Struthio camelus: one gene and its partner. The protein of the gene in region 2 purifies or fractionates together with the protein of the main gene of each other region. This does not show direct contact. Links are inferred from orthologs where the notes say so. Each region holds a gene or a part of one and is shown on either strand. Other genes may lie near its edges. The genes, in order: KPNB1 and PPM1G.

Evidence for each region.
Region 1: the proteins of PPM1G (region 2) and KPNB1 purify together in Homo sapiens (affinity purification with mass spectrometry; 3 studies listed by BioGRID and IntAct, with this or other methods). This does not show direct contact. The link is inferred for Struthio camelus from reciprocal best matches to the Homo sapiens genes PPM1G and KPNB1.

What each region holds. Positions count from the first base shown.
Region 1 is NC_090966.1:5,912,686-5,928,265, forward strand, and holds the start of KPNB1 (importin subunit beta-1), read right to left. Parts: upstream 6,165-15,580; coding exon 5,789-6,164; intron 5,460-5,788; coding exon 5,401-5,459; intron 2,008-5,400; coding exon 1,825-2,007; intron 1-1,824.
Region 2 is NC_090944.1:636,505-651,642, reverse strand, and holds the start of PPM1G (protein phosphatase 1G), read right to left. Parts: upstream 6,698-15,138; 5' UTR 6,513-6,697; coding exon 6,393-6,512; intron 2,018-6,392; coding exon 1,948-2,017; intron 1-1,947. Other genes in the region: NRBP1 (nuclear receptor-binding protein), read left to right, coding at 7,518-7,724.

The DNA of each region.
Region 1 (15,580 bases), on a different chromosome or scaffold from region 2:
GAGATTTGTACATGATTATTTGATGTGAGCAACCAGAGACAGATGGACACTGGCCTGCCACCTAGATTTTCACTTGATAAACTTATTGCAAATGTACCCCTTTGGCCAGTAAAGCAGTTGGTTTGTACTGCTTTCTCCCTCTGCAAGCATTTGACCACAGGCAAATAATGTTTGAAATGAACTTAACCATGGTTATCCATTTCAGGAAGTGAGATACAGTTGTGTGATTACACATATTTCTACCACATCCTTTAAATTCCATACATAATGCTTTATACTATAATAATGCACATTGATGACTCACTGAACAGTTCTTTCCTACTTGTATTATAAAGCAAAGTTACAAAAGCTAAACAAATGGTGGTTTACAATCCAAAATAGTTCTAGATTGTTTATGCCAAGATAATCTGAACAGGATTGAAGAGGTTTTTTTCCTTATATTTATTTTAATTCCAATCAGAAGAACAATTTTTTGTATACTTCAATAACTTTCTTGAGGAGGAGGGGGGCACACTTCAGAATTTTCAGTTATACATCTTACTTGTCTAGATATCCCCTCAGCAAATACAGTACTTACAACTCACTTAGCCTCTCCCAAACTAGATACCGCTCTCTTCCCACCCTTGCACAGCCTGCCTCCTGAGACGGGCAAGAGGGGATAGGCTTCGTGGCTCTTCTGCTGGTATTCAGAGTAGCAGTCAGCACCAAATACTTCAGTGGCTTCATGATCAGGAGTGAACCGAGTGAACTGAGACCCCACCAACCCTCTTCACGTTTACCCTCTAATCAGCGTGGGCTAATAGATCACTCAGCTTCTCAACAGAATAATGGAAATAGTGACAATTGTCAAAGTTAAGAAAAAGCCAATCAGCAGGAATTAAGTGAAAGCATCCAACTTATCAGCTTAATAAGACACAAAGGACTTTGCTTTAGTTGGACAGAAGGACAGCAGTAATCTGGCTTTGTTAGCTTTTAATATACAACCCCATCACAACTCCCATTTACAATATAAGCTGTTTCCCCTTACCTAGTTCAGTCTTAGCCAATGTAAATAAAAGACTAAAGTTGTACCATAATGAACCGCCCAACCATACTCTACTATACACAGATTCAAAGACATCTGTTAAGACAAAAACCTTACATAAAAGCTTACAGCCAACTTGCATTAATTACATAACACCGTGTACATCCAAGTACACCTTTGTTCTTGCAAGTCAGAAAAACTCAGCCACTATAGTTTTGTCATTGCAAGTCCTGTACTGGAATTATAAAAGAACACAACAGTCCTTGGGAAATTCCACACCTGTACAAAATTTAAAAATACCATTTCACATCTGGAACTTGCATATGCATGACTACGCTCTACTAATTCTTTAAGATTTTCTATGGCTTGTGCAAACGTGCACGTTCACACACACGACACGTCTCAAAGACATTAATGACAGACTGTGAGACAGTTGAGGAAGCTGCTCAAGAATAAAAAGCAAACATCAATTCAGTTGAAATCGCCTAGTTAGGAAGCCATTCCCATGAACTCCAGAATCACAGGGGACTACTTAAAAACTGCTTTGTAAAAGTATTTATATGCCTCAATGTAAAAGCAGTAGCCACATATTTGCTTGTCTTTTTACCCTAACACTTCTGTAGATTAAATATGATGTAAGCAACAAAACGTCAAAGCACGCACAGACGACATTGTTTCATGAAAAGTAGAAGCCACCAAATGGAAGACTTTTCAGGTGGAAAAGGAGGGATAAGAATGCATTACTCATGATCCTCGAAGGAAAACGAACAGGCAAAAATGAAAAAAACCCCAAAACTTACATAATTCTTGACTTCTCTGCGGGCATTGGCATCGATTGCAAGCCATCTCTGTTGGTACTGGGCCTTGATATCCGGGTCCTTGGATGTTAAGGAGTTCTTGATCTGTAAGCCAGCCGCGACTCGAGCAACTTGGCTGTTTCCTGGGTTTGCCAGCACTCTGGACAGTTCCACAAGGAAGGTAGGCTGGAGGGCAGAGGAGAAAGCTGCTCGTCAATGGAAACATTTCCCTCCTTCCTCCTGCAGCAATGTGAGCCGTTAATTTGTCCTGACTAATGAGGAACAACACGCGTTTATCCAGCAGAACGCGACTACGCTCATTAAAGTTTCTTCAGTATCAGGCCAACAGCAAACCTCTGCTACTGTACAGTGACTGTGTTTCTATCCCAAGATTATATACGCTAAGCTCCTAATTAGAACTGCTGGTAAGCAACGTAAATAGACATCGACTTTGTTGGATGTTTTCAGCTTACTTGAGAGACTGTTACCTTTGATGCTCCTGTCTACTTTAAGTACTCCTTTAAATAAACTACTCAGGTTTTATGCAAAGTTATGTATTTTCTGGATGGATATCAAACATGGTAAAGAATAACCCTCTACTGATTTTCTTGCTTCAAGGCAAACACCCAAACTATAACCTAACACAGGAATTTTTAAAATGTGAAAACAGCTGCTGTGTTGGTGCATTAAATAGATTTGTACGAGTAAGCTTACTATATACTTCCCTGCAATCAAAGATACATATACACAAGTGAAGATTATCCTCACCAAAAAGTGTACGCATAGATAAAAATACTTGACGTCTGTACCACTTGTTTTTGGTGGCATCTAGTGAGAAGCACATCTGCATTTAAATTTGATTTTGCAATTCAGTAGCTTTACATTTTATAGACTTCTGCTGCATACAAGATACAGCTAAAGTTTCAACAGCAGAACATTTTCATTTAACTGGCCAGATGAAGCATTTTGCCTATTTAAAAGGTAAACAACCTTCAGGTAAATAGCAAAAACAGCACTATTTTCAAAACCATTTTATACCAAATAGACAAGGAAGAATGCAGCTTTCCAGAAAACGTTCCATTTAATATATAGTTGCATCTAACCAATTTTTAAAAGTCTGTATAACAGAACTTAGGATACATACAAAGATTTTAGGGCACCAAAAAAATAGTTATTTTTTTAAACTAGCTTAACTTTTAAAAGTTCAATAGAAACAAAGAGCATGCCCAGTATCCTGGACTTTACATTTTCAGTGATCAAGTTTGCCTCTTGAAAAATCTTAATTAGGCTATCTAGTAGATAAAAGTCAAAATGCAGAATTTGGAAACAAAACAGTCATCCAGTTGTCCAGTCAGAAATATCCTGACATTTTAATGCTCTACATAAAAAAAAAATGTACAAATACACCATAATAAAAGAAAACACTTCTCATCCATCAAGAATGTTCACACTTGAGACATTGAGTTCTACTGTGCCAGAAATGGGAAACCGTTCAGAAAAGTTCACAGGGCAAAACAAAAGTGTTGCTGCCACCTTTGAGAAGGAAACCTGACTAGAATTCCAAATTTGAGGAAATGCCCTTGGAGATCTCTCTCATCAGTTAACAAAAAAAAAAAAAAAAAGTCTTTTTAAGGAACTTTGATATAATTCCTGCTAAAAGTTAGAAGCATTACATTAAGATCCAAACCAAATGCAGATGCATATGACTTCCACACTTACAAAAACGCCAATGAAAAATTTCAGAAAAGGGTCTAAATTAAATACAGGAGGGGAAAAGAAAGAATAAGCATATTTGGATAAGTCTCCATTAACCAGCTGGGAGTTCATTTCAGACTTTGTTTGCTTGGCTGCCACTACCAGTAGCCCCCAGCACAGAGCCTCTAACCCAATCCCTTACCTCCTACCTCTTCCCTACTTCCTTCCTGTTCCTCCAGGCCCAGCTAGAGTTCTTCCCAATCACATACCACTTACGAACAACCCAGAACCCTGCATCCTTCCTCTCCTACGCTACCTTTTATGCTTCTTCCGACAAACCCAAGCTTCCTCACTGCACTCATCACTCTCGCGGTTGAGATGGGACTCCTCGGCCCCCATCCGTTGGGAACCTGCACCAACCCACACCCCTTCCCAAACCAGGGCACAAACTTCATCCCTCACGCACCAGCACAAATTCTGCTTCCTCTGCTTGCTGCCTTGACCTCGCTTTTGCGCTCTGAGCCAAGAAAGCAGGTATAAATGAAACCTTGAGAAACTGGCTCATCCCCCAGCTCTTTCAAAAGCCTGAAATGCATAAAATCACGAGCTGCCCAAGGACGTCAATCCAAAATGCTTCATATAACACTGCGCAGGAACGTCAACCTAACCCTGAGGTTATAAGATTTTTAGGGGATCCTAAGATTTAACAAGCAGCCATTCACAAAATTAGAATCAAAACGGACATTTCTGTGTAAAAACTATGTCAATTATGATTCTCAGGGACGCTTCACACTGCTTAAAATGTAACAACAACAAAGACCACACTACTTTTGTGGTTTAGACAAGTGGAGACAAATGCACATATGACCGTTTAAAAAGGAAGAATAAATTTTGCTAGTAACCGTAACAACCAGTGAGTGACAACTAGAATACTGAAGTGACATGAATAACACACCTCTGTTAAAATGAGCTAGGATTCCTTCAAGGACAGCAAATTAGCATCGCAAGCCCTCTCCTGTAAGAGCCTTGAAACAGTTGCAATAATACACCTTGACTAAGCAAAAAATCATATTCCTTCGATGGAGAGTTAAACTTCTCTACACCATCCTCAATTTTAGGACATATATAAAAAAGCTGGGTTTTTTTGGAAAGGAATAGGGCGATGAGAACTTTCATAAGCACGTTTTTTGGTGCGATAAAGCTTTTCCTCTCGAAAACAGAGTTCCCCCCCTCCCCATTCATTCCAGGTAAATTAATCAATCTTAACCTCTCCTGACCCCACCCAGCACAGTGACTCCCCCACCAGGATCCCGACCGTGTCATCGCCCTCCCCAGCCGCCTCCCCGGCACGCGTGCGGGGAAAGGCCTCGAGGATGGGCTCGGAACGGGGCGGAGAAAGACGGGAAGTGGGCCAGGAGAGGAGCTCAGCAAAAAAATAAAAAATAAATTAAAAAAAAAAAAAGGTTGGGGGGGGGGAAAGGGAAAGTGGAGGGGTAGGGGCTGGAGGAGAGATATAAACACCCTGGCAAGGGGCCGGGGCCGCGGCGGGGCGCGGGGAGGCGGCGGGGCCGCACATGGCCCCGCGGGCCGCTCCCACCGCAGCCGGCGCGGCGCTGCGCGGCGCGGACACGCAGCGCGGCGCAGCCTAGCGCGGCCCCTCCCCCCTTCTGCCGGCGCCGCGTCGCCATTGGTCGGCGGAGGCGGCGGGCGAGCCGCGATTGGCCAGCCGCCGCCCCGGCTGGACGCGGGCGAGGTAGGTTGCGCCTTTTATGGCGGTTCGGCCTGGCCGGGCGGGGCGGTGGGGGAGGGGAGCGCGCCCCCCCCCCCCCCCCCGCCCGCTCGGTGTCGCCCGGTGCCGCCGCCGCCGCCCTCCCCGGTTCTCACCAGGTTCTCGATGGCCGCCTGCTCCAGGAACTTCTGCGCCGCCTCTAGCTCGGAGCGGTCTGCCGGGGAAGCGAGGAGAGACGGCAGGGGGAAGCCGGCGTCAGTCAGGTCCCGGGGGCGCCTCCCGCCGGGCCCCGGCTCCTGAGGGCCCCGGGCTCCCGCCGCGCTCCCAGCCCCCTTCCCGCGGCCCCGCTCGCCGCCGCCCAACCCAGCTCCCCTCAGCCAAGCGGCTGCCGCCGCCTCACCTCAGCCGGCCGCAGCCCGCGGGGCTGCTGCGCGGCCTCCCCCTCCCCCCCCCCCCGCCACCGCCGCCGGCAGCGGCCTCCGCCCCGCCCGGCCTCTCCGGGCCTAACGGCCGCCTCAGGCCTCGGCCCGGCCCGCGCCCTACCCGGCGAGACCGTCTTCTCCAGGATGGTGATGAGCTCCATGGCGGCGGCGTGGCGGCTCCGGCACCGGCGTGCGGGGAGCGGAACGAGCCGGGAAGGGGGGGAGGGGAGTGAAGGGAAAGGGGGGGAGGGGGAAAGGAGCCTCCCCCGTGAGAAACGGCAGAGGGAACGGGGTGGGGTGGGGAGGGGGGAGGTCCCGCTCGCGGAAGACCTCGCGGGGCGGCGGCGGCGGCGGCGGCTGCTCCGGCTGCTGCGGCGGGCGGCTGTGGCAGCGGCGGAGGGAGAAAAGGGCCGCGCGAGCGGGGCGGGCGCGCGCGCGCACACCGAGCGGCGGAGGGATACGGCCCGCGGCCCGCCGCCCCGCGCCGCCGCGCTCATTGGCCGGCGGCGGCCGGCGGCTCGCGCTCCCATTGGCCGGCGGCGCGGCGGGCCGGTAGGGGTGCGGCCATTGGTCTGGAAGGGAGAGGAAGGGAGGGGCGGGAAAAGGGTTCCGGCGCCGCGCGCGCTGATTGGGCAACGCGGGGAAAGGGCGCCCCCGCGGCGGGGCCGGGGGAGGGGCCGGCGCGGGCGGCCACGTGGGGCCGGGCCGGGCCCGGCAGCGCGCGCGCGCGCGCCCCCGCTCGCCGTGGGGTCCCGCCGCCGCCGGCGCTGCCCGGGCCCTGGAGGTCCGGGCGGAGGAGCCGCCCGCTGGGGATCCTAACCTGGTATTAACCTTAACCTAGTATTAACCTAAAAGCTACAAGTAAGGGATGCGTGCTCGCTGCACGATGCAGCCTCCGTGCACGCTGTGTTTTCCATGCCCGATGCAGCCTCCGTGCACGCTGTGTTTTCCATGCCCGATGCAGCCTCCGTGCACGCTGTGTTTTCCATGCACGATGCAGCCTGGCCCAAGGCGCGCTTTCTCCACCAAGGTGCCTCGAGTTTTAAGGAGCGTTGAGGGGAGGCGCAGTTGCATCAGCTGGCGGAAACGGGGCCGTTTCCCCAAGGCGCAATTCCCCGCAGCCCTGAAGAACCGGGGGTTGCAGCACAGGACGTGAAGCCTGGGAGATTTCTGGGAGGTCGCGGGAGATGCTTTCAGCTTGGACGGAGTTGTCAGCGGTGGCACAGTTTAGGATAATCAAGGTATGGTGGAGGTTCAGGTAGATCTTTATTGTATGCTCCAGGGGTGCATGCTCTTTACAGCAGAGGCCCCAACCCAGGCTGTAACCGCCGCTCCTACAAGCAACGATACTACAAGTGACACCCGGGCTGCACGGTTTTGTGTTTATGCAACTATTCCTCTCCCCCCCCCCCCCATGGAAAGGACTACGCGATCCCTTGCGTGGGTGCAGTGATAACACCACCAAAAATGACCTAAAGGCCCCTCGTTCTTCCTCCCTCCCGGAGAGGCGCTGCTACACCAGCGCGCTCGCCTGCACGCCCCTGTCCAGCCCAGGCGCTGGACTGCCCCAAGGCAGGGAGATGGCCGCACCAGCTTCTGAGCACGCATGAGGCCTAGCTCAAACTCCACAAGATGCAGGATTTAACAGAGGAATGCCTGGAAAAAAAGGAGAGGAGCAGAACAAAGGTGCAGCTGAATAATTAAACCCAGGTAAAGGCGGGCTCTGCGACTCGCAGGTCTCTTGTGGCTTGCGCACCGGGAGAGAGCAATTAGTAACACAATCAGGCTCTATTGTGGGATTAAATACAAAGGCCAACGAGAGAAGGGACAATTACCTAGTTACAGTCAACCTGACTCTTCCTGTAGGCAGGGAGGAATCGGAAGAGCCCTGCTCCTCATGCCAGAGGAACGCTCAGCGCTCGACGCAGATGTACGTTAGACTCCCTTCTTCACGGTGTTCCTACTTCTTGGATTAACCGTGCTTTGTACTTGCAGTATTTTGCTTTCCTGGGAACGGGATGCGCTGCAGGTACGGTAACTGCTCAAGTGCAGCCATCTCTGAGCGCATAAATGAGGGAGAGAGAGTTTGGTTGACCATAGCAGGGGAAAACTCTGAGTTGCAAGGAGCTGGCAATAGTTAACATCATCCAAACAACTGACTGTTTTTAACTGATAGTCCCATTCCTACACCACAAACCATGTGGAACCCAGCTGCTCGGTGGCAAAATTGGTAGAAGGGATTCTGCCAAGATACAGGTCCTAGATGAAAGGAATACGGGTATTTGGGAAATGCTGCACAGGCTCTAACCGAGTAATTCCTCAAACCCTGAAGCCTCTCCCAGCACTCCTTGCTGTACTTATTTTGCAAGTAAGGAAGCTAAATACACCATATTCCCACAGCGCACGAATGGTGGAACCCGGGAGTCTGGGTCTCTGGTGCCTTGCTCAGGCCTCGAGACAGGCAGAGCTCTGCTAGATGTTTTACCTTGTTAGATGGCAAGAATGAAGAACAGAGAAAAAGGAGAGAAAAAAACAAGAGCCTTGGCCTCTGAGCCCAGGGGAGGGCAACAGCATCTCGTAGCTCCTCCTGAGAAGAAATACAGCTTCTGTTGAATTGCAGCCTCCTTTTGCTCAGGTTGGGTTTCCTGGTCACCCATTGGGATGAGGGGATTCACAGGCCTTTGTGAGAGTGTCTGAACCGTCTTGGAGCAGAAGTCCAGCAAGGTGTCCTGCGGGAGGGCTGTAATCCGAGGGTGCTCTGCGCTGCGCGCAGGTATCAGTCACGAGAAATCCTTTACAGCGGCAGTTCCCAACCTCGGGCTCCAGCACCCAGAACTGTGCACATCTCTGCTCAAACATCGTAAATGCCATGTAACAGACCACTTGGCCCTGCAGGTTACACTGCAATATGGGACAGGTGAGGAACCAGCGCCAACCCAGCGTATCCATCTCACAGTATACATGCCGAGCCACAGTCCTAGAGCCGGCTGCCTGCAGCCAGCTAAAGGCAGAGCGTCATTGGAGCCACAAACAATTGCATTTATTGGCCAGTTGCAAGGAAGGTACGTTGCTCGTGAACACACCACCACTTTCTAGGCTTCGTTTGCTCCGTGACCTTCTCAAATGCAGGATGTGCAGAGCTGGAGCCGCTTCCAGAGGCCAGGATGACAACCACAAGAGGTCAGGAAGATGGGGAAAAGCAGTCTGGCTCATCCTCGATGTCTCCAGGCCTTTCTGCCCTATACTACTACTGTTTTTTCCCTTCACAAGCTGTTGCCAAAGGAAAGGGGAAGACAGCTCTTATGTTGCAGGGCAAAGCAAGTGCCGACCTCTGAGCAGTGGTCTCAGTCACTTGCCCTGTTGCTGAGGAAGTGGACTCATACCCTTGGGTGTGCATTTTGAAAAGTATTCATCATTCCTCCAAAGAAAGTCGGGTTACAGGGACAGACCAGGACTCTGGAGCTCAGGAGACCTAGATACTGTCCCTACCTTTGCCAGTGGCCTGCTGGAGAAGCTTGAAAAAGTCATTTTGTCTACCTCTGCCTTGAGTTTCACATTTTAAAATGGGGACAAATCCTTATCAGCTTCCTTTGTAAAGTGCTTTGATACCTACTGATGAGATGTACTTAGTGTAAGTGGCTAGCAGGTTTAATACGGTTACAAGCAAGAAAAGAAGGGCTGAAAAACATCTGGACATCAAGGACTTTAATTCCGTTTGCCCTGCTGCCATCGTCTTGTTGCATGTTCTTGGTCACAGTGTCTTGCCTGCGTCTGTCTCGGCCGCTCCAGCTGGAAAGACTAAGTTGACGCTAACCTCGAGAAGGTGGATAGGGACTGCGTTAACTCGTGACCGGAATGCTTTGAGATCACCCCGATAAGACAGCGAGGGAGAACAGGACGCAGAGACGCGGCCAGTGTGTCCACAGCGTGTGTTGCTAGCAGGAGGAGGAGAGGGGGTTCCTCTCTCTGCCAAACCCGCACCTGCGGAGGAGCCTGGGTGGGCAGACTTGTCAACAGTTCACATCACTGACTGGTTTAAGACCAATTACTATTTGCAGCTTGACTCATAAAACAGAACTGACATGTTATTCAGCCTGAAGGAATGGAGCTCACCTCGCGTTCAACCTTCCTTCACCACGCTGTAGTATGCCTTTTTGAGCAGTTCAAAGTCAAACTCACCAAGCAGCGTTTGGGTTGAAGTCAGCTGAAACGCACTCTCTTGCAGCTACTCCCCAGCAGGGAGGAGGGATGGGGCAGGAACTGAGGAGCCTGACACGCAGCTGCGGTTTGCTTCTGCGTTTAGCTGAACATTGTCCTGCCCCAAACTGCTTCCCTCTTCCCCTCCCTGACTCGGCGCCGGGGCCCCAGGACACACCTGAAAGCGCACGGTGCTTCTGCAAGCGCGGTTTCACGCAGCTGTTGCACGCTGCCCTGTGCGTGTGCCTGCCCTTCTGTCTTGCTGACCAGGACGACTTCCCCTAGGAGACCGTTCCTGTAGGAAAGCCAAGGAGAGAGAAAAGCGTTAAGGAGTTTTGTACAAATCTGGCCTCACGAGCAATGCAAGCCCAGAAACCCAGTGTAAAATAAGGATAAGTGAGACTGCAGAGTCAGCTCCCCTTGGTACAGCTCAGGCTGGAGCTTTAAACTTGAGATAGATGCACCGTTTTGCTCTTCATTGCCATAAATGGCATCCTCAGCATTCACAGTACAGAGGCTTATATCATCTCCTGCTTTCATAAACTGACTGCAGAAACTGGGAGAGAAATGCTGAAAAGCTGCTGACCTTTGGAACAACTCTAGAAACAGTTAGGGTACTTGGGGTTATTTCAGCAAGTGAAGTGATTAGAACGAGAACTAGGTGACCACGTTTTCTTCTCGAGTCCAGACGGCTGGCTGTGCGTTTCAGCAGCGAGAGCAGTAAATGGCTTTCAGGATTCCTCGTTGATCTTGCTGCTGTCACCATGAACAAAATCACTTAAACTCTGTGCCTTAGTTTCCCCTATTTGTAAAAAGGGGAACATTTCATAAATGGATTATGAGTGTAAATGATCTATTGGAGTGCTTCCGGAATGAGAGCAGCCTTCCAGACTAGGTGCTAGCACCCATCAGAAGAGCCAGGTTCTCATGGTAACTCAAAATCAAAAGAACAGAAAGTCACTTCTCTGCTTCCCTTCCCACCTTTGAAATTCAAAAGATGACAGCTTAAAAAGATTAAGCTGCTCAATACTTCCAAGTTTCTCAGAAAATCCTACAAAGAGATGAATTCCAAGGAACAGGAACCATCTCTGTTTTTGTATGTGTACAGTATGCAGAGCGTGGAGTTCAACAGTTTCTTAGGCACTAATGCAAATCAAACAGTCGGATGATACCAGGTTTAAGAAGTTAACACACCAGGAGCTGTGTCTAAACTAGATTTCACTGCTGAAAAAAGATGCAACAAACATTTGTTGTCTTTATCAAAAACGTTAATAAAGCTGGAAATACAAAACGTTCAACAATGCAGAGGGTCAGCACACAGGAAATGTCTTACGCTTCCTATCTCATTGAAAAAGCAAAGGTAAGTGCAACTTCCCCACACTGGAAAAGTCGAGAACACATGCTTTAATCCAACGGTAAAGAAAACCCTGGAGAAACATTGACAGTCACAGGCAAGCCCGAGCTCACTCTTCTGTTCCGTTTAAGACAAACTGCTCCTCCAACAGCAATGCCCTGTGCAGGAAGGGCGCGTGAAATCAGAGCAGCGATGGCACCCACCACCCAGCCTCGCACTACCTCCTGCAGCACACGATCCTTACGCAGGAGGCATGTCTACATGCAGTTTTTCAGGACAGCTGCAGCATTTTCAGTTCATACCCAGTCTGAATCCACATCAGCTTTCAAGCAAGGACAAGCCTTTATGGTCAGTCCAGTGCTATATTAGCTCAATCATTTAATAGGAATACAGAATAAGATTATTTATTTACACAAACTTGTACATGCACTGGAAGGACAATATATCCACCACACTCGGTTCTCTCTCTGTAGGAAACTAAATGTCAAAGGCTGCTTAACACTAAACATCTCCCTAACGCTAAACGGCAGCAATGTGGTAGATTTCTCCGTGCTCCGTCTCACTTACCTTCGTGTAGCAGCCCAAAGGAGGTCTTACATGCTGCACAGAGAAGATGCGTTTTCCTAACAATCAGTTGATGAAACCCGCTTTTTGGCAGCCAGCACAGGTGACTAGATTAAACGAGGTTGAGCAGAGACACTCACCTGGTCTTCCTTGCTTAGAGGGATGCTTTCCAACTGCTTCGGTTATATTCAGACTTCACATTACCTCAGTTTTCTTTCCTGGTTTGGGTCCCTGTAGAAGAAAGGTTAATGTAATGAAACAGTATCGTGGAACACGGCACATTATCCTCTTTAGCTTTAAGTTTTGCCACATGCATATATTTTCCCACGTGTTTTCACTTGAATTGAAAATAACTATGTTTAACTTTGACCAAATCTTATATCATGATTTTAGCACAGCAAATTGAGCTCTCCTTTAATGAAAAGAAAGTCTGAAACAGCCTGAATGGAGTTCACTTTGAGCCAGCGCTGGAGTGATGCCTGCCACTGCTCAGCCTGATTTTCCATCAGTTGAACGGCTTGGTCCTTCCTTCACTGGGGTAAAACGATGCTCGTCTTGACATGGTCATTGATGGACAAGGGGCACAAATCCTCCTTCGCTCACCCGGCTCTCTCAGCAATAGAAGCGTTTCACTTAAGTTAGTATCAATCCAGTTTCTGTGTGGCTGCCATTAGCCTTGTTCTGATCCTGGTGGCCAGCAGTCATTTGCTGTCATGTCTTCCACAGAGCAATTTCACTTGCACAGGTATTTTGCAAGGGCTAAGATAATTCTTAAATGGAGCAGAACGTGAGTATAAAGTATTTCACGTGCAGTAGCATAATGGCTAATTGCAGGGACAGTCAATAGTAGAAAACACTGAGACTTCACTGCACCTCATGCGTGACCCTGTCGAAACACAAGTAGGTACATGTTAGAACAGGATTTGGGAGGTAAGGTTTCAGACTTTTTTGTTTGGTTGTTTTTTTCAGAAAGAGTTCACAAGCGTATTTGTCACTGTACACCATTTCGCTTTTACAATAATTTAAAATAAAGAGCATACTCTTACCGTGATTACATTTGGAAAAGGACCCTGGCATTTGGGGAAGCAAATAACATGTCCTTCCAGATGCTGCAATTCCGCTTAAGCTAGATAAAATTTTGGTCTGAAATCTGGGTATTGTTGAAGAGTAAACTGGATTCCGAAGCTTTCATTCCCAGCTAATTAATTCCACATCAGCCTGGCAAGCTTGTGCCTTTTACCCTGACAGATTAAATATTATTTTATCCCACGTGTAAGAGACTTGCAAATATCAAAGCAATGACTATATATAGGAATGTATTTTTGTTATTACAAAACTTGCCTTTTCCAAATTGCTTCGGAGAGTTCACACATGTGACTCTTTTTTTTAATGGACTGAATATGTTCTGAGCAAACCTGGCTCTTTTAGCCAGAGGATTGGATCAGCAGCAGCAATGGCAGGATGCCACCAGTCCTCCACCCACCATAAGCATTCCCAAAATTGAGGAAGTGATTTGTGACTTGCTTATTTAAACCTCAGCATTTCAGTCTCAAGGGGCTAAGTACAGGGAAGGCACCTGACCATTCCATGCTGCTCCAGGATCAAATTGGCTTCATATGAGCTTCCAGTCCCTATCAAGACTGACTAGATTTTAACTATTTCATTATTTTTATTGCCCACAGTAAGAAAAGGCATAAAAATTAATAGTTTGAGGCTTCCTTAAAACTCAAATTCAATGATCTAAAGCTGATAGGGTAGAAAAACAGGACGCATCTTGAACTGAAGATCCATGGAGCCAAGGCTAATACGTCTAGCATGACCCCTGCAAGATGGTTAGGGATAAATGTTTTGCAGAACATGTAAAAAGTGAACTGTCCCCCCAACCATGCCCTTCCTCGAAGCCCCCAATAACCTGCAGCGCTAGGTTGTTTATAAAATGATTTTAAAATACATACAACCTTTTAATCTCAAGGCTGCACAAATCATTTGTGTCCTGTGCTTAACACCAATTCATTTGTATTGCTTTTGATGCATTTTTCTTCATAAAAGCGCTGTCTCAGTTCACACATGAGCAGGAAGCAACCTCTGGGGTAGCAAGAGCAGCTGTCCCAAACCTGATCACCTGGAATTCAAGCGAGCAGCTTTGGCACAGCTATCAGAAGACAGCTAGCTAGACATGAGCATATAGCTTGCGGCCCGTCTGTGTCAGACCACTCTCATGCCTTAGCACAAATCAAGCACCTACTTCCCTGGAGAGGCATCTTTATGGCAAGGCAGTACTTCCAACACCGCACGGCAAACCTGACTGCCTGGGACAGAAACCAAAAATGAAGCCTCCAAGAAGTATTGCTTTCATAAGCTTACATGAAACCACGCGCAACAGGAAAAGGGCAAAGTAACACCACCTCACATTAAATCCACTTCAGAACAACTCTGCTACCTTCTAGGCAGGAGGGTTCTTACTACTGAAAGCTTTCCATGGTTTTGTTGGGGGGAAAGGGAAGGCAGACCACAAAAAGCAAGAGAAGGACAAGGTTACTTAATTCTAAGTGTCAAAAGTACCAAGATTAAAGTCGGAGACTGCGTGCTATATCAAAAGAGTAAGTTAAAGCAGCAACAAATAGGTAGCCGCAGCGAGTTTACTCGTTAAGGAAATCTTTCTATTCCAGATCTTGAAGGAGATTTTCAACCTGAAGTTCATGTGAGCAAGATTCAATACAGATTTTCATTGTCACTCAGTCATCAAAGCTCATACAGGTAGGACAGAATGTTTTGGCATTTCTTATCACGCCTGACAGTGATAGAAAAGACATGGAGGCAAACTCCTCCCGTTGCAGCTAGGAAAACCTGCATTGTTTTTATTTGCATTATAAGCCTGTACTAGGAATAAAACAACCCCTACTATTATCTGCAGTTTTGGTCTTTATCAAGATCTAGCATTAGAAACCAGTGAAACTGCCCGAAAGGGAGGAAAGAATACATCAAGATTTCTTTAAAAATGCAGCGTGTTTAACTTAAGCCTACGCTGGATTACTTGTTGAGAAATACCTTACCTATCATTTAAGCGTCCCTGAGGTGCATTTGGGACACTGGACCTAACAGCCCTGCAGAATACAGCCAGTGCTCATGGGCAATATCCCTGCTAATCATCACATGAGCCCCAGATACAGCACTGCCGTTTCATCTCCTTCCTGATCCCCGATACCTCTTGCTAGTCTTGTCCTGACTCTCCTGAGAAGAGCATCAGTTTGTCTCAAATGACAGAAAGATTTCATATCAAGAGGACAAATCCCAAACTAACTTTCTTTCACGAAGAATTAAAATCTACTTTCTTTGCATGCAGAAGAGACTGGGACTAGTCAGTCTGCTGAAACTATTCAGTTTGCTCACAGACCACAAACTCGTTATTTTTGCCTCTCTCCTTCAACTGCTTGCATGTCATTTGCATTGTTTAAAGTCAAAACAAGACCACCTCAACTTGCAGCTACAGTATGTCTCATTTCATACATCACCAGTCATGCTGGAATTACTAGTTTGCATGTTATTTTGTCAATGTGCAAGAAGCAGAAGAGAAACCAGCTTACTCTTCTGAAATTACATTGGCTCTGCAGTGCTGACAGCAGGAAAAAGCATCAGTAAACTTAACAGATATGACTCAGGACAAACAGAATTCCCATTTCAATCTAATTTCTGACCGTATAGCCACATTAGCCCTAGGGATACTAGCCAATGCAGTTCAAGAGCACCACATCTTCAAAAACTATGAAGTTGCTCATTTCTGAGGTGTACCTCTCTGCC
Region 2 (15,138 bases):
CCCGTACATCTGGTTTCTGTACCCAGAAAACAGCAGAAATTAGCAGATATATAGATATATACGGTAGAATGGGGAACAAATATATGCCTGAGAGTGTCACAAACTGATCAGAGCTTTTTCAAGAGTCAATGAGCAGGTGGAAATAGGAGGTCTGGCTGACATAGAGACACAGATTTTCAAAAAAGTTTCAAATAAGTCATCAAATGCTTACATACTAAGCTGCCATGGGAAAATAAGTAAGATTTGATAGGAGCAAACAGTTTGCCAAACGGAGGATGACCAAGGTTAGAATTCCTTGAAAATTTGCATTGTTCAACATTTACATAAATAATCTGGAAAAGAGGGTCAAGAAAGAGTGATGGATCATTCAGGAGAGTCAAAACTAAAATCATTCTCAAAATGTTGTAACGGGATCTTATCCTTCTACGCTATATCGGCAGATGAAATTCCTCACTGACAATTGCAGAGACACAAACATGAAAAAAAGACAACCAAACCACACATGCACGTTGGATGGACTCAAACACAGCTCTTACCACTTAGGAAAGATCTGAGAAACACTGTGGACAGATCTCTGAAAACGTCAACTCACTGTTTAGGTGTATCAAACAGCTAATAGGATGTTGTGAATTGTTAGTAAAGGAACCAAGAACAAAGCAGAACACACTTAATGTCACAATAAATCCATGGTACATCTGTATCTTGAAAGCTATATGCAGCTCTATTCATCCTAACTAAAAGCTTGCTGCAGAGCTGGAACCTCTTCCTCCCCCTCCAAAGAAAAAAAAGGGGCAAACATAGTTAGAACGATACAATGCCTGGAATCCACGGCTATGCCCAACGCGAGTAACCTAATGAGTGCCACGGCCCAGGCATTTTACCACCTATGTGAAAAATTACTAGCCTGGTCCAAGGCATGCTTTTGCCCCAAGCCAGTTAGCACTCCCTCAAGTAATTTCTGGACACAGTTCAGGATGTAGTAGGGGCCAGGGACCAACAGTCAGTTTAGATGCAGCCAAACTATTCCAAATACTAAGAGAGCTTAATTGCATGGATGTGGCCAGACTCTGCCAACTGGTCTCAGGGCCAGAAAATGAGCTTTGCTGCTATTGAATTTACTGCTACAGATACAGCTGTGTGAGCAGACACAAGTTTAAGAATCTTCTGACTGGAAGAAAGGACATAAGAGTCCAAAACTATGAAAGTGAAAAGTGGTAACAGTGATTACTCACTAATTTCTCCTAACAGAAGTGTTGGGAATATTGCAGTGAAATTATCAGGCAGCAGATTTTGATTAAAGTATTTTTTTCAAACAAAAATAATTGTCATATATAAAACAGCCTATGCAAATAACTACCAAACATATAAACTGGTTTAAAATGCAGTTTCACAAATTTATGCATAAAAAAACCTCTAGCTGTCTACAAGATCATATAGCTGAAATCTCTAGCTCAGAGAGCCCTTAAGTGGGGAATGGCTGTTGGGAAGATACGTCAGGGAATGGATTTTTTTTTTTTTTTTTTTTTTAACTCTTCCCCTGAGAAACCAGTACTGCCAACCACCACAACATCTGACTAGAGTCAGACCTTTGGTCTAATTCCACTTCAGTCTAATTCCACTTCGGTCTTTCTTATGGCCACTCTTCTGCGACTATCCTGTCTGACTTACCTACCAAGAAAATAATGGTCATTCTTAAAAGATTTTTAGAAGGTGGAATGCAAGTCTCATTGCAATTCTGTATGAAACCATGACTTTTCTTCTAGAAACCCTAAGAGACATTCATAGCCTTACTCTGATATCTATCAAAGAAAACCTTTTCCCAGAAGGAGCAGGATTTCTAAGGATAATTAGATGCTTGCTCCAGTAGCCAGGACAGCAGCCACTTCCATTGAGTCGACTGGAAGAGCAATAGTGAAGAACTCTGCAGAGAACAAGGGAAGCAGTTACCTCCATGTCCGTCGTAGACGGAGAACATGGCTGTCTCACTGTCCAGCTCCGGTATGCAGTTGTGCGCATCCTGAAAAAGAGAGCAAAAGTCTGAATGACATTGATTGTACCAGGCCCAGCAGAGAACTGGGAGAAAGGAGCATGCAGGCGATGAGCGCTGACATGAGCGCTGATTCTCAGACCTAGAGGAAAAGCAAGAAGAGCGAGAAAGCCTCCTCCCATGGTCTAAAAAAGCTTATCCAGTGAGCACTCTGAAAAAGGGGCAGATCTTTACCATTATGGTGCTCCGTGCTAGAGCAGTAGCACAGCCTTCTAACCACCTCTCAGACCGTACTTCAGACTCCCTCACTTCTCCAGTACAGTAACTCTGGATATTGCCAAGCACAAGCCGTAATTGAACCCCTCTTCCTACACTGATGTCTGCCCCTGGTATCTGCAAGGCCTCCATTACTGTAATATCTCACAGTGCTTAAAGCACAGGAGGCAGTGAGCTGTGCTCCACTGTATGAATAGGTACCTAGGCTGAGGTTTCTCTAAGTGTAAACACAGAAATACAAGTTATCCTGCTGTTGATACACTGGTAACTTCCCCCATGCAGACAATGTAACTTGCTCAGGGTCACCTCTGGTGCCTGGCCGTTCCCACACAGGCTCTCTCTTCTCCAGGTCTTGCCAAACAAGAGCCATGCAACCTGAATGCCACTTCATGATACACTGGTGAAGACAAAAGGTCAAATACAGAGCCTCCTGACCTCAGGCCTACGATTACAATACAGCAGCACACTTAGCCTTTGCTTGTGCTTGTCCAGGCGAATGCAGTCAGATTGTCTACTCCAACAGCCCAATGGAAAAACAGCCATACAGTACATGGGATTACCACATTCAGTGAGAACGAACACTGGGCTGGAAAACTTTTTCCCAGAGATGCTCTGCATCTCAGAGCATCTGGGACAAAGGCTCCTTCCTGCTCTGCTTGACGCTCCTGGGAAGGCACTAGGCCTCAGGCAGTTCCCTGATGAGAAAGGCAAAGAGCCTGCCCTCTCACAAGCGTCCTTTAAGCAGTGAAGCAAGGGACATATCAACTAGTCAACTAAATCAAAGTACAAAACCAGGTGTCACTTCCTGAGGCAAGTCAGGTGTTTCGGTTCTGCCAACTGTCCAGAAATCCCCAGAATCTCCTGAGGCAAACCAGATAGGTGTATCCCAGAATGTTTTTGGGTATAAATAAGAAACTCTGCCAAGCCTTTCTCTGCACATGCTCCCAAACTACAAGGATGAATAATATGAAAGCTATATACAGAACACTGCCCTTCTCTCCATAAGAGCTCATCAGGAACAAGAGATTTTGAAGGCACCATCCAGGTTTTACAGCCAGGTGCCTGACCTCTTTCATCCTATGGGCCAGCAAACCAAACTTGGCTATTCCAGCACCAAGCTCAGAACTGATGGCTAGACTGAACATGCCTTTTAATCCCCCCTCAACTAATTTTTTAACATTCCTTGAAGTGCAAGTCTCATCCTATCAACTTACAGCTTGATTGTCCCCCGCTTGTCTTTGTTCAGAAGCAATCATGTGACATTTTAAACAATGTGATCTAGAATAGTCCTTCCTTGTCATGGTTCAAGTTCCTCACCTGAAAATTAAATGAGCTACAGGTGCCCCAAAACACTGTGCTTACTCCAAGGCAGCAGGCTCTACAGTATGGATGGACACATTGCCAACCGTAGCAGAAAACTCCTATGTGTACAACAGAGTCACACTTGGTCACTGCACAGCCAAGCATCTGTTGAGCTTTTTTACTCTTTTATTGTAGGACTCTTTTGATAACTAAATGCGATTTGTGAGCTCTTTGCCCTTCAAGGTGCCTTACAAAGGAGAACTCTACTCCCCTGTGATTTCTATCAAGTGTTAACGAAAACAGAAAAGGAGAGGTTCTGGCTTTATACAGCACCTAGTGCAATGAAACCACCTGACACTGTGATGAAAACAAAAGCTGAGGGGGCGAATTATGATTTTAGTTCAAAAGAAAAAAAAAAAAAAAAGACCCATTTATGACTTTGGTAATTTAACCAAAGAGTTCACTGGCCAACAGATGAATACAAATGATACACAGATGATATACAAAAAATCACACTGGTATGGTCACTTTTTAGAGCGTTTACAGAAGCTAGAGAGACAGCAAAACCACAACAAAGTAACGGGGATAAGTCCCAGGTGACTAAGCAGCAGTTTAATTAGAGCAAGTAAAACAAATGCTGCTAGGAAGGAAATCTAACATCAGCAGCAAAAATGGTCTTCTTATTTCATTTTACAGCACTCACCACAATATGTCCTGATCCTGGACCAAGGCACTGCTGTCAAGAAGGGCGGACAAACAAGCCCAGCATATATTGGCAGGAGACACTTTGAACAAACTTCTTGCCTTTTTTGAGGCAAGGACTCTTTTTGTGAGCTCAAGAAGAATGAAATGATGCTGTACACAGGAGTCCTCTTCGGAGTTCCAGGCAGAGCCACAGAACTCAGAGGCCCAGTGCATCTACCTCCATAAATGCCTCCTGTCCATCCCGCTTTACTCCTGAGCACTCCTCTCTCTATTGTAATTCAGCTTTTTCCCTTCTTAGTCACTTGGAGACCAAAAAGGATAAGTAGTATCCAACGCTATTTTATCTAAAATGTTTCTTATCTACAAAGTAACCTCTCCGGACTAAGAACAGATATTTATTATACATTTGCCTGGGTGCTCCTAAAGTATAAATTAAAGTTAACAGATAACTCCTTTACACAAAATTCTACTGTCCACAAGTACCTGCTTCCACCACTTGTGTACACTCCGACTGGCTTCACTAACATAACCCATAACTCAAGCCTTAACTGTACACTAACAGAATACATATTTACTCAGAACTTTCTCTAATCCTTACAGAAGGGTGAAAGTACAATTAAACATGAAGAAAAGGAAACACACAAACCAAGACAAGATACAGAGAAAAACACACAACTCCGGAAGGCAAGAAAACGCAACAGAATCATCACGTTCTCCTCGGTTGTATGCGAAACAATGAACTGTTTCTCTTTCATCACGGACCTAGGAGAAACTTGCTGTAACATAAGCACTTCTGCCATCATCTCACTTTTGTGATAACATAGCTAAATCATGTCTACATCAATGCCCTCAGCGCTGCTTCTACCAGCAGGGAGATATACCAAAGATGTTGGCTGGTGCAGAAAAAACAGCTGCAAGCTCTGGGTCTCATCCAATTTCCATAAAGGTCAATGGCAGCAAGAGCAGGCCTCAAAGAAGTGAAATTATGAGCTGACTTCCCACCAGTGTTAAAACAGGGGCAGCTCTCTGCCCTCCCTCATCCAAGACCGTGCCCTTAAAACGCTTTCAGCCTCCGCGCACCATGGTTCCCAGAACACTGCCTGCATTCAGCCTCTTACACACGAGCTAATCGCCTTGCAGAGATTATATCGTCCATCACCTCAGTGCTCCAATAACGCCTCTGTGTCACGTTTCACCTGTGCAGAGGTCACCAGAACGGACAGACTAAGACCCAAGCACCAATTCTTCTGCCTCTGAAACTAGAGCCCAGTTTCATAAAGCTCCAATGCACGCAGAAAGGAGGAAAAACATTGTCACTGTTCTGTTATCAGTAAGATTGCTGTAATGTTTCAGCAGCAATAAAACATTTGATAGCACAGCTCACAAAACTATAATTGCAAAAATCGATCCCCAGTGCTCTGAACGGGACGGCCTCTCCAAGGTAGCCAAAGGGCTGCAAACGAGAAGGCTGCTTTCAGAGATGTACCCTGGCGGCTGCAGGGACCACTATTCATCCTTATCTAATTTGGGCTGTTTGCTAGCTGCCTGGAAGGGAAAATAAGCCAGCACGTTAATAGTAGTCGCAGAGAGCGTTAAATTCAAAGAACTAGGAACTGCTGGCGAGGCAGAGAAGCGATCCAAAGCAGATACACCTTGGCCTTACACGAGCAGCTTTACAAAGCAATTCCTACAAACTCCACCATCAGGAGGAGTTCGGACAAACAGCTGACTTCTTCAGCCTAACAGATGTTTACCTGGTGACAGTTCATTTGTCCCACAAGCCTAGCTGATAGCTGGGTAAAGGCAGGCCTGGTTACAGGAGTCTCACGCGAGAGCAGGAATAAGAATTTTCCCAGTAAATTTCCCTCGAAAGGACTAAAAACAGGGAGGGGGGGGGAAAAAAGACCCTAAAACTTCATTTCCCCCCGGAAAGGAAAGCAGAGGTCCGGCCCGCGGACGTCCCCCTTGCCGCGCCAGGTGGCCCCCGGCAGCAGACTGTCCCCCCCCCGCCCAGCCCGAGTCTCTCCTTTCCCGCCGCGATCCCCGGCCCGGGGCCACGGCGGGGAGGGGGCGCGGGCAGAGCGGGGCCGGGCGGCGGCAGGAGCCCCCGCCCCGCGCTCACCTCCATGGAGACGCGCCAGCCCTGCATGGCGCTGAAGCCGAAGTGCAGCGGGCGCGGCCCGAGCCCGGCGCCGTCGCCCGAGCTCTTCACCGTGTTGGGCTGCGACAGGTAGGCGCCCATGGCGGCGGCGGCGGCGGGCGCGGCGGCAGCCGGGCCGCACCCACCGGGCCGGACCGGACCGGACCGGACCGGGGCGGGCGGCACCGGGCGGCACCGGGCGGCGAGGCGGCGGCGGCGGCGGCGGCGGACCCACCCACCAGCGAGCCGCCGAGCGGAAGTAGCGCGGCCGGAAGCGCGGGCTAGAGAGTCGCGTTCGGGGGAGCGCGCGCGCAGCCCGCCGCGCGGGCGAACCAGAGCGGCCGGAAGTGCCTGCCATAGAGACGAGCCGGGGGGATAGCGCGGCCGGGCGAGAAACGTGGTCCCGCCGGGCGGCGACCCCCTTACCCCTCCCCCCCGGGGACTTCGCCTCCCGCCAGGAGCGAGCCTGGCCGCGGCCCGCCCCCACACCGCCTCCCTCCCGCGGGCTCCCCCGGGCCGGGCGCGCCCCTCGGCGTGCCAGCCCGCCCCGGGCTCCTCAGGGAGGGGGGGATCGCGAGGACAAGGGGCGCCGCCGGCCAGTGGCGGGGCGGGCGCGACCGGGACCGGCGCCTCCCCGCGGCCGGGGGCGAGCGCCCGAGCCCCCTCACAGACTGCGCGCGCGCGCGCGCGCGGGCGCCCCTAGCCCCCTTATATAGCCGGAGCGCCGCCCACCGGCCAATCCGCGGAGGGTGACGGCGCGCGCCGGCGCTCTCATTGGGCGGCGGGAGCGCCGCCCCGTCCCGCCCGGCGCGTTACGCAGCGCGGCGGTTGGAGGCGGCGCGGCCCCGTCGGCGGAGTCGCGACGCGCTCGGGGACCGGGAGGCGCCGGGTGAGCCCGGTGAGTGCGCGCCGCCGCCGCCGCCGCCCCCCGCCGCCACCCCTACCGGGCGCCCGGCCCGCGCCGCCGGCTCGGCTCGGCTCGGCGCCGCCAGCAGGCCCGAGGCGCGGCCCGCGGCTGACAGGCCCGGCGCGGCCTCGCGGCCCGCCCCGCCTCGCCTCGCCTCCCCTCACGGCCCCGCGTCCGCCCGCAGGGTGCGCGACCGCAGCATGTCGGAGGGCGAGTCCAAGCAAGCGCCCAGCGGCGGCTCCGACTCGAAGCCGGAGTCGGCGTCGTCCGGCCCGGGGATGACCTCGGTGTCTCCGCCGGTGACTTCCGCGGCGCCGCCGGAGGAGGAGGAGGAGGAGGAGAGCGAGGACGAGTCCGAGATCCTCGAGGAGTCTCCGTGCGGCCGCTGGCAGAAGCGGCGCGAGGAGGTGAGCGCCTGGACCGGGCCTCGGTGCGCGGCGGAGCCGGGCCGCGGCGGGGGGGGCCAGCGCGGTCCCGTCGCGCCCTGCCCGCTCTGCTCCCGCCCCCGGGCCGCCGCGGCCAGCGGCCGTCGCGCTCCCGGGGCAGCGGGGGGAGTCCTTCACCTGCCGCCTGCGGCCTCTGGAGCGCTGCCCGCTTGCTTCCCCGCGCACGCATCGCGCTGGGGGCTCCTCTGTGCAGGTGGTGTCAGGGCCTGCTGTGGCCGCTGCGTGGCAAAGGGGTACCTGCAGCCGTCCTGTCTGCCTTTCGTTGGATCTTTTGCTCTGGGAGTAAGCTGGAGCAATGCCTTCACAGTTCTTGGTGTTCGCTCAGGAGCGTGAAAGGAACAGTACCGGATATGGAGGCTTCCAGTTGCCCGGTCTTGTCTGGTCTTGAATTATGCCTTGATTTTGCTTTGCTTTGAAGTCTTCAGTTAAGATAATGCGTGGCCTGTTTATGCGGACTTGGTTCTTGGGTTGTTTGCCTTGCACCTACTTCTCAGTGCGTGCATCAGAATTCTCCCATATGAAGATGCAAGCAGATTAGATCTTATTCTGGAGCCCTTTCTTTGACACGGTTCATTGTGTGCTGTTTATCTTATTGGAGGATGTCTCCATGGACTGGTTTGCGCTTCAGGTTGGCTCAGTGAAACCTGCTCTGGTTGAGCAAGCTGTATAGCTGTGGTAGTGGCTGAAAGACAGAAAATGTGAACTCCAGTGCTGCCCCATAAATGTTAACGTATTCTTTCTTAGCCAGGTCAGGATTTAACATATAATTTCATGACCATCTTACGTATCCACGTAGACATGTGGTAGCTGAAACTCTGTTGATGGTGAAAGAGTCATTTTCTCTCGTGTAAGTTAGGAGGTCAAAATAAGGTCAACAGTTCCCCACAGTTACTTGCTTGAAACCTGTCTTTTGTTGACACAAGCCAAAATTGTAGCAAGGTATAGTAAGAATGTACTTTTTCTGGTGAAGCTACAGTTTGGATTGTGGTGAGGAGGGTAACTGTATGGAGCTTTAATTCTATCCTTCAGAATATATTCTCTATGATAATCTGAAACTATGAATAGGAGGTGCTTTTTCCTATGATCTGTGCTGAATCAGCACACCGGAGAGGCTCAGGGAATGAAGCAGAAGTTCAGTGTGTATAGTTTTTTCAGTGTGTTTTATTTACTGCAGATCCCTTTGACACAGAAAGATTTATTTCCTTCCAGGCTTTTCTGTACTGTCCTAGATAAAATGTAAAGTTTGGTAGGCGTCAGTATTTTCTTTGTATTTCGGTTCCCTCATATGCAGACAAATTAGGGCCCAAACTCAAGAAGTTCCCTAAAATTTTGGCATGGCTAAATTGCTGTCTTTTAGCTAGGAACTAGAGGGTCTGGTTGGTTTGAATGCACCTCTGTAGGTTAGATGAATGAGCTTTGCTCCACCTTGCAGACAGACAAATGACAGCAGAATGACTCTTGAAGGTTGCAAAACAAATTATTGACTAACTTGGAGTAAACTTGGGTCCTCTAATGCCCAACACATCATCTGTCCAGGTTGTACGGCCTTCCTTCAGGAAATGTTGAGCATTTATGGGTCGGATTGATATTGGCTATAGTTGCTTGTATGTGGGCCTTATATCTCTTAGGTAGCCTTCCAGTGATCATGCAGTTAAATTCTGTCTTGTTCCTTAATTTTGCACGTAAACTTGTGGTTTGGTTAAACCAGAGCTTGTGGAATAGCATTCAGTTACCTTAACCATATTACCTACCTTATATGTTTTGCTGTCTTCAGCTTTTGGATCAGTCTTCACCCTGGAATAAAGTCTTCCACTTCAGCTGTTCCAGCATGAGGTTTATTCTGGAGTAACAGTTTTACTTTTTGAGCATCTTAATGCACCAGAGTAAAAGTAGCTTTTGTACTAGAGCAGTGTCTTCATAAAGTGCTATTAATGTGATAGGTCAGTCAGCGCTGGTTATTCCAGTCAGTGTATCCATATAGACGAGCTCTTATTCACTCGCTACCCCTTTGGCAGTGAGGAGGTGTTACTCTACGAAAAAGGAATGTTGCTTCCCTCCTTCCCCCCCCCCCCCCCATTGCGCAATCCTGATTCTTCCTCTTAGCACTATCTTCTTTGGATGCTGAGTTATAATATCCTCTTATAACATCTTCTTTGGATGCCTTTGAAGCAACGTAATGAGATAATCTGGGGAGAAGACAGCACGTGTGCCCACAGAGAAGAGCTAAGGTTGTACGCACAGTATGCAGTCTGATGTTTTCAAAAGTTTAGGTTCTTTACTTCTCAGCTTGGGTAGCACACTTTGTGTGTTTGTATATGTAATTCCTTAAGCATTGGTGTGTGGTGGGGGGCTTTGTTTTGTTTTTTTGTTTGCTTTTGTTTCTTTTTTTGAAATTACTCTTTGTAATGATCTTCCTAGAATACAGGTGTAGTGGCTGTATAGACAGGAGCCCTATAAATCTGAGGGAAAAGGTATCGCTGGGATCCACACGTAGAACAGCAAAGTGCAAGCGCTCAGGTTATTTACCTTAAAACTTTAGTAGATTCCAGTAGAATAAACTGCAGTGTGATTCCTGAGCACCTCTGCATCTTGTGAGGAAGCTTTCTTTGCACAATAGCAAGCATTTTAAAAAGCAGTGAATGTATGGAATACATTTTTGTAATGATGATGCACCACTGTGGTTGTCTTACCTAAAGAGCTGGGAAAAAGCACATAAGACAAGGAAACTGATTCGGGCAAACTGACAAGGCAAATGATTGTTACTCTTAAGGACTTGAGCCTCTTCCCAGAGTGATACCTCCTCTAGCCAATGAAATGTGGGATAAAAGCATTACATCATTAGCGCAAACTCTCATAGGTTTAGGCTGCTTGTGAGCCTAAACTACAACACTGTTACCTAGCAACTTCTTAGAGGTTTTATTTCAGAATTCTTTGGTTGAGAACTGCTTCGGTAGATTTTTAACTCTTAGTGGTGGCCTATTCTCCATACTGGGTGTAGGGTTAGATGTGTGTGGTCCCAGTGGGAAGGATCCTTTGTGTTAACAAAGTAGTCAAGCATAAGTTATTAGAATGCTGCCTCTCCTATCCTGGACTCCTTCCCAGATCTCCCTTTATTCATTCTGTCTTTGTTTAGTTACAGTGATCTAAATCACATGGGGGTTCAGCAACCTTAACTGATGCCCAGGTTTTCTGGTACGTTTGGTTTTAGCTAGCACATTAAGCTTAGTGTACTTGATTTGTGTCCAGAAAAAGTTAGCAATTCAGCATAGGCTAACTTGGGGGGGGGGGAAAAAAGAGAAGAAATTGTTTCAATTATTAGCGCAATCAAGTTAGCAGGATTGCAAGGTCCAGTTAGAATGTAGCCGGATGTGGGTTACTCAGTCATATTTTAGCTACAGCAGCCCAATGTAAAATATGCCAGCTAATATAACTTCAAGTCTGCTTGAAATTCAAATGCAGGCAAGGGTTGTATTGAGTTGATTGACTGCAGTTTTCTCCTAGAGACAGTGAACATCTGTAGCGTGAAGTGTATAATTGCCATGAAGGTTCAGGGTATTCTTCTAAAATTAAGTGGCTTTGTGAAGTTCTGTAACTAAGATGCTATTGTAACTAGATAAAGGATTAAGCATCTATACTTTCCCAAAAGTTCATCTCTTTATGGCGTGTTTTATGGATAGTGGTGTGGTCATGCTCTGATTAAACCTTAAGGGTGAAGTTGCTGCCAAGGTGAGATGGGGGGGGGGAGAAGGGGAGGGACATGGCTTGTCCAATAGAGTACTTATTTTCTGTTGTTTGGACAATTTTATACAAGAGAAGACTTTGGCATCACTCTCCTCTTTCTTGCAATGTGTAACCCCTGTTGGCATTTTCAGGTAACTCTCCCATCCTTAGGCACTGCAGGGACCAATAAATATTTGCTGTGGTGTATATATCACAAGCATGGGTCTCCTGGTGTGTTGCAAATTGTATTGCTTCCATACCTGAGCTGAACCCTTCTTCACAACTGTAACCAATTCCCCTGATTGCTCCCCTGACATATGCAAGGGTGATGTGTGCCCTTTAACCTCTGCAAGGGGCAGAAGATAAACTTGTAAGAGGGTGGATCCCATCTCACGGTGGAAAGGTGTAGCGAAGATACCTACAGCTTGAGGTTAGCGGAATCACAGGAGGGAGAGACTGAGGCTGATAGGCCCTTCAGGCCTTGGCTCTCCAAACTTGTGCCTGCCTTCGTCCTTCAGTCAGCATGCATACATTTTTCTTAATTTGAAGATGCTTGGACAACTTGTCTGCTGTGTTTAGACTACGCCTCCTAGGAATAGAAATGGGTTGTAGTAACGCACTTGCAATTCATTTTTAGACTTGTGCCGGTGGCAGGTATTAAACCTGAAATGCCTGCTAGGCCTTGGACTTGATGCCTGTTCTCTGCGAGAGCTGCACAAATCCAAAAGAATAGTGTCACAAATATAATTGTAGGAAAACTTATGTTCTCCTGCAGCAGAATCTTCTTTTTGTGAATTTTCAGCCCAGTATTACTGTGTGGGGCTTGGTGAGCCCATGTTAGTGGGAAGGACTCAACCATTTGCAGACTTAGATGGTCCTATAGCTTGTCATCTGCTTAATAGCTACCTACTGACCAGATTTCTTTCTATGCCTTTTGTGGATAGGAAAACACTATGTGATTGCACAAGCCAAGACTTTGTATTAAATAATTTGTTGACATCAAAGGTCAATTGTTTGTCTGAAAAGCTGCTTTTGTCAGTCTTGGCTGCTAAGGTTAAGAATTTGTGGTGGTTGATTGGGAAGCTCAGAGGGATTAATCAAACTGTTTTAATTTCTCCTTCAGTGTTTAAGGGGTTGTGTTTAAAAGCTGTGGGGTGCTTCACAAGCAGGCTTGATGCTGTGTAACTTTGAGATGACAAGAAATGAGTATAATGAGGTAATTTCTTCATAACTCGCTTAATAAATGGCCTGTTTAATGCTATTGAATGAACTTCTTAACTAGTAGCAGATTGTGGATACATAGCCTTGGGAGCAAGCTGTTTCCCTTTCAGATATGTATGTGAGCATGCCTGTGATAGTTAATAGAGCAAATGACTGTGCAGTAAGTCCAGTATGCTAGACTTACCCTTCTGCAGGCTCCTTGTGAGGCATGTTCTATTGCAGTACAGCTTTCCCCAAATGCTTCTTCATTCCGTGACACAGAAGACTCTGCAGGGATGAGTGAAGCCTGGCACTTAAAGGAGGAAAGAGAATGGGAGAAATAGTACTGGTCTCTGCTGAAATACCTTTGCCCTTTCTTCAAATGTATGCTAAACTGCTCAAGACTAGCAGGAAAACCTTGTATCGTTTGTGCAGTCCTGCTTGTGTTTGGTCCTTTGATTGGAAATTTGCCCAGGTGACTTGCTCCCTCCTGTGCAGATTGAAGATTTAGGGACTGCTTCTCTCCTGCAGATTCTAAAATACTGTGGTGATTTTCAGGGTGCCCGAGAGGTAATGTTTGAGCTCTTGCTAGCCATCAGTGACCTCCACTGAGAAAGAACTGACCTCATGCTTATCTAGTTTTTGTTCTGCGCTTGATGTATTATCAGTTTTTCTGCAAGCTCAGCAGCTGGAGCACTTTCCATGTGATACCCCACTTCAGTGAATGCTGAGATCCACAGGTTCTTTTTTGTGTCCTCCCTGGAGGCAAATTTGTTGTATATAAGTGCATCTGTGCATACAGTGGTTGCCATGTTCATATTTTTTTTGGCTTTCTCTCTCTGGTATTTTCTACTGTCAGGTAAACTAGATGAAATGAGCAGTCTTTTATAGGTCCCTTTCCTGTCCACATAGTTGCCTTAGTGCAGGCTAAGGGTGATAAAGTTCCATATGGACCTAGGTATCGGCTCAGGTGAAGAACTTGCATTGGAGGCAGTGTAGGTTGTGCCTGTGGGGTATGTATATACATGCTCAGTATTTGAGTCTTACTGTTTTTCATTGTATCCTGTAGCTTGGAAGTTCAGAAGGTTAATGTAGACAGCACCTCTGTCTTTACTACGCTGCCCTTAGTTTACCTCTCTCTCTCTTTTTAAGATGGTAAATATAGACCTTGCTGACATCTGGGTAGCTGGTTCCGAGGCAGTCTGATGACCTTTGATGGTGAGGTGGTTGAACATTACAGCTGAGGGGTAGTGATCAAGCTAATGTATCCCTTGATCCGTGCTGGCTTTGTGAAAGGTTACTGAAGAAGCTGTGGTTTATGAGAAGCTGGACCCAGCAAGACATGAAGTGAAATACTGGATCTACCTCATCTTTATTTTATATTTCTGTGTTGTCTTTTTGCTCCTAGTGGGAGTCTTAGTTTCTTGAATTGTTTCTCATCTGGAGCCAGTTGATGCTTTTTCTGCCTCTGGATTTACATTTTTTCAAGCAGACAAGAGTGCAGGATTCTTGGACAGAAAATACCAATGAACTAGGTGCTTGGATTCTTTGATGCTTGAGTCTAATTTCTTGGCAGCTCTTGTGACTGAAAAGAAACTTGTTGAGGCGGTAAAATATAAGCACTGGGCTTTCTCTTCCTATCACGCATCTGTGTTTCTGTATGTGGGGGAAAATGAGATAGTATTTGTTGGAAAGGTGATACTTCAGATGCTCTGAGCTTTGGATTCTGCTACTGGAGAATGGAAGGGTAGCAGAGCAAAAGCAAGCTAGTGCTAGAAGGGCTGCTAGCGTTTTGCCAGTCTTTGGCAATGGACCTGTATTTCCAGCTAGTGTAGAAAGTTAATGCCATGCTGTAGTTCTTATGATTTTACTTGACTATTGGGAATGTACTCAAAAGGGGGAGTACGTTGCAGCCTTTGTAACGTTTTTGTTAGCTCATTTGGGGGCTTTCTGGAAGGAGTGAACCCTTGAGATGGGCTTGAATAAGATGAGGGCACTGCAGGATGTAGCAGGAATTGAGCCTTTGTTCTGGGCCTGTTGTCTACAGACCCTTTATGTTCTTGCTTATTGACTGTAACAGACAGCTGGCAGCTTTCTTAGTGCCTCACCAGCCAGCATCAGTTCTCAGCCTTTATAGTGCCTCAGTGGGGGAGCAGGCACAGCCAGAGCAGCTGCCTACTTCTTTTCTAGCTTTCCTGGGTGGTTGTAAGCGCTAGCTATACTTCAGCTGTCTGTAACTGAGGTATAGAGTTTGTTTTGCATTCTTTACAGAGCTGTTCTAAAAAAGCACATTCCATGTAGCTTACTACCAGCACCAAAGCCTTCCAATTGTCAGACAGGTCTGAGGCCCAGGGGAAACCACTGCAACATCTTGGTTTCTGCAGCCCCTGTTCCATGGGGATCATATCTTACAACCAGGCTTGCATATGGGAAGGAAGTCAAACTTGATTTTTTT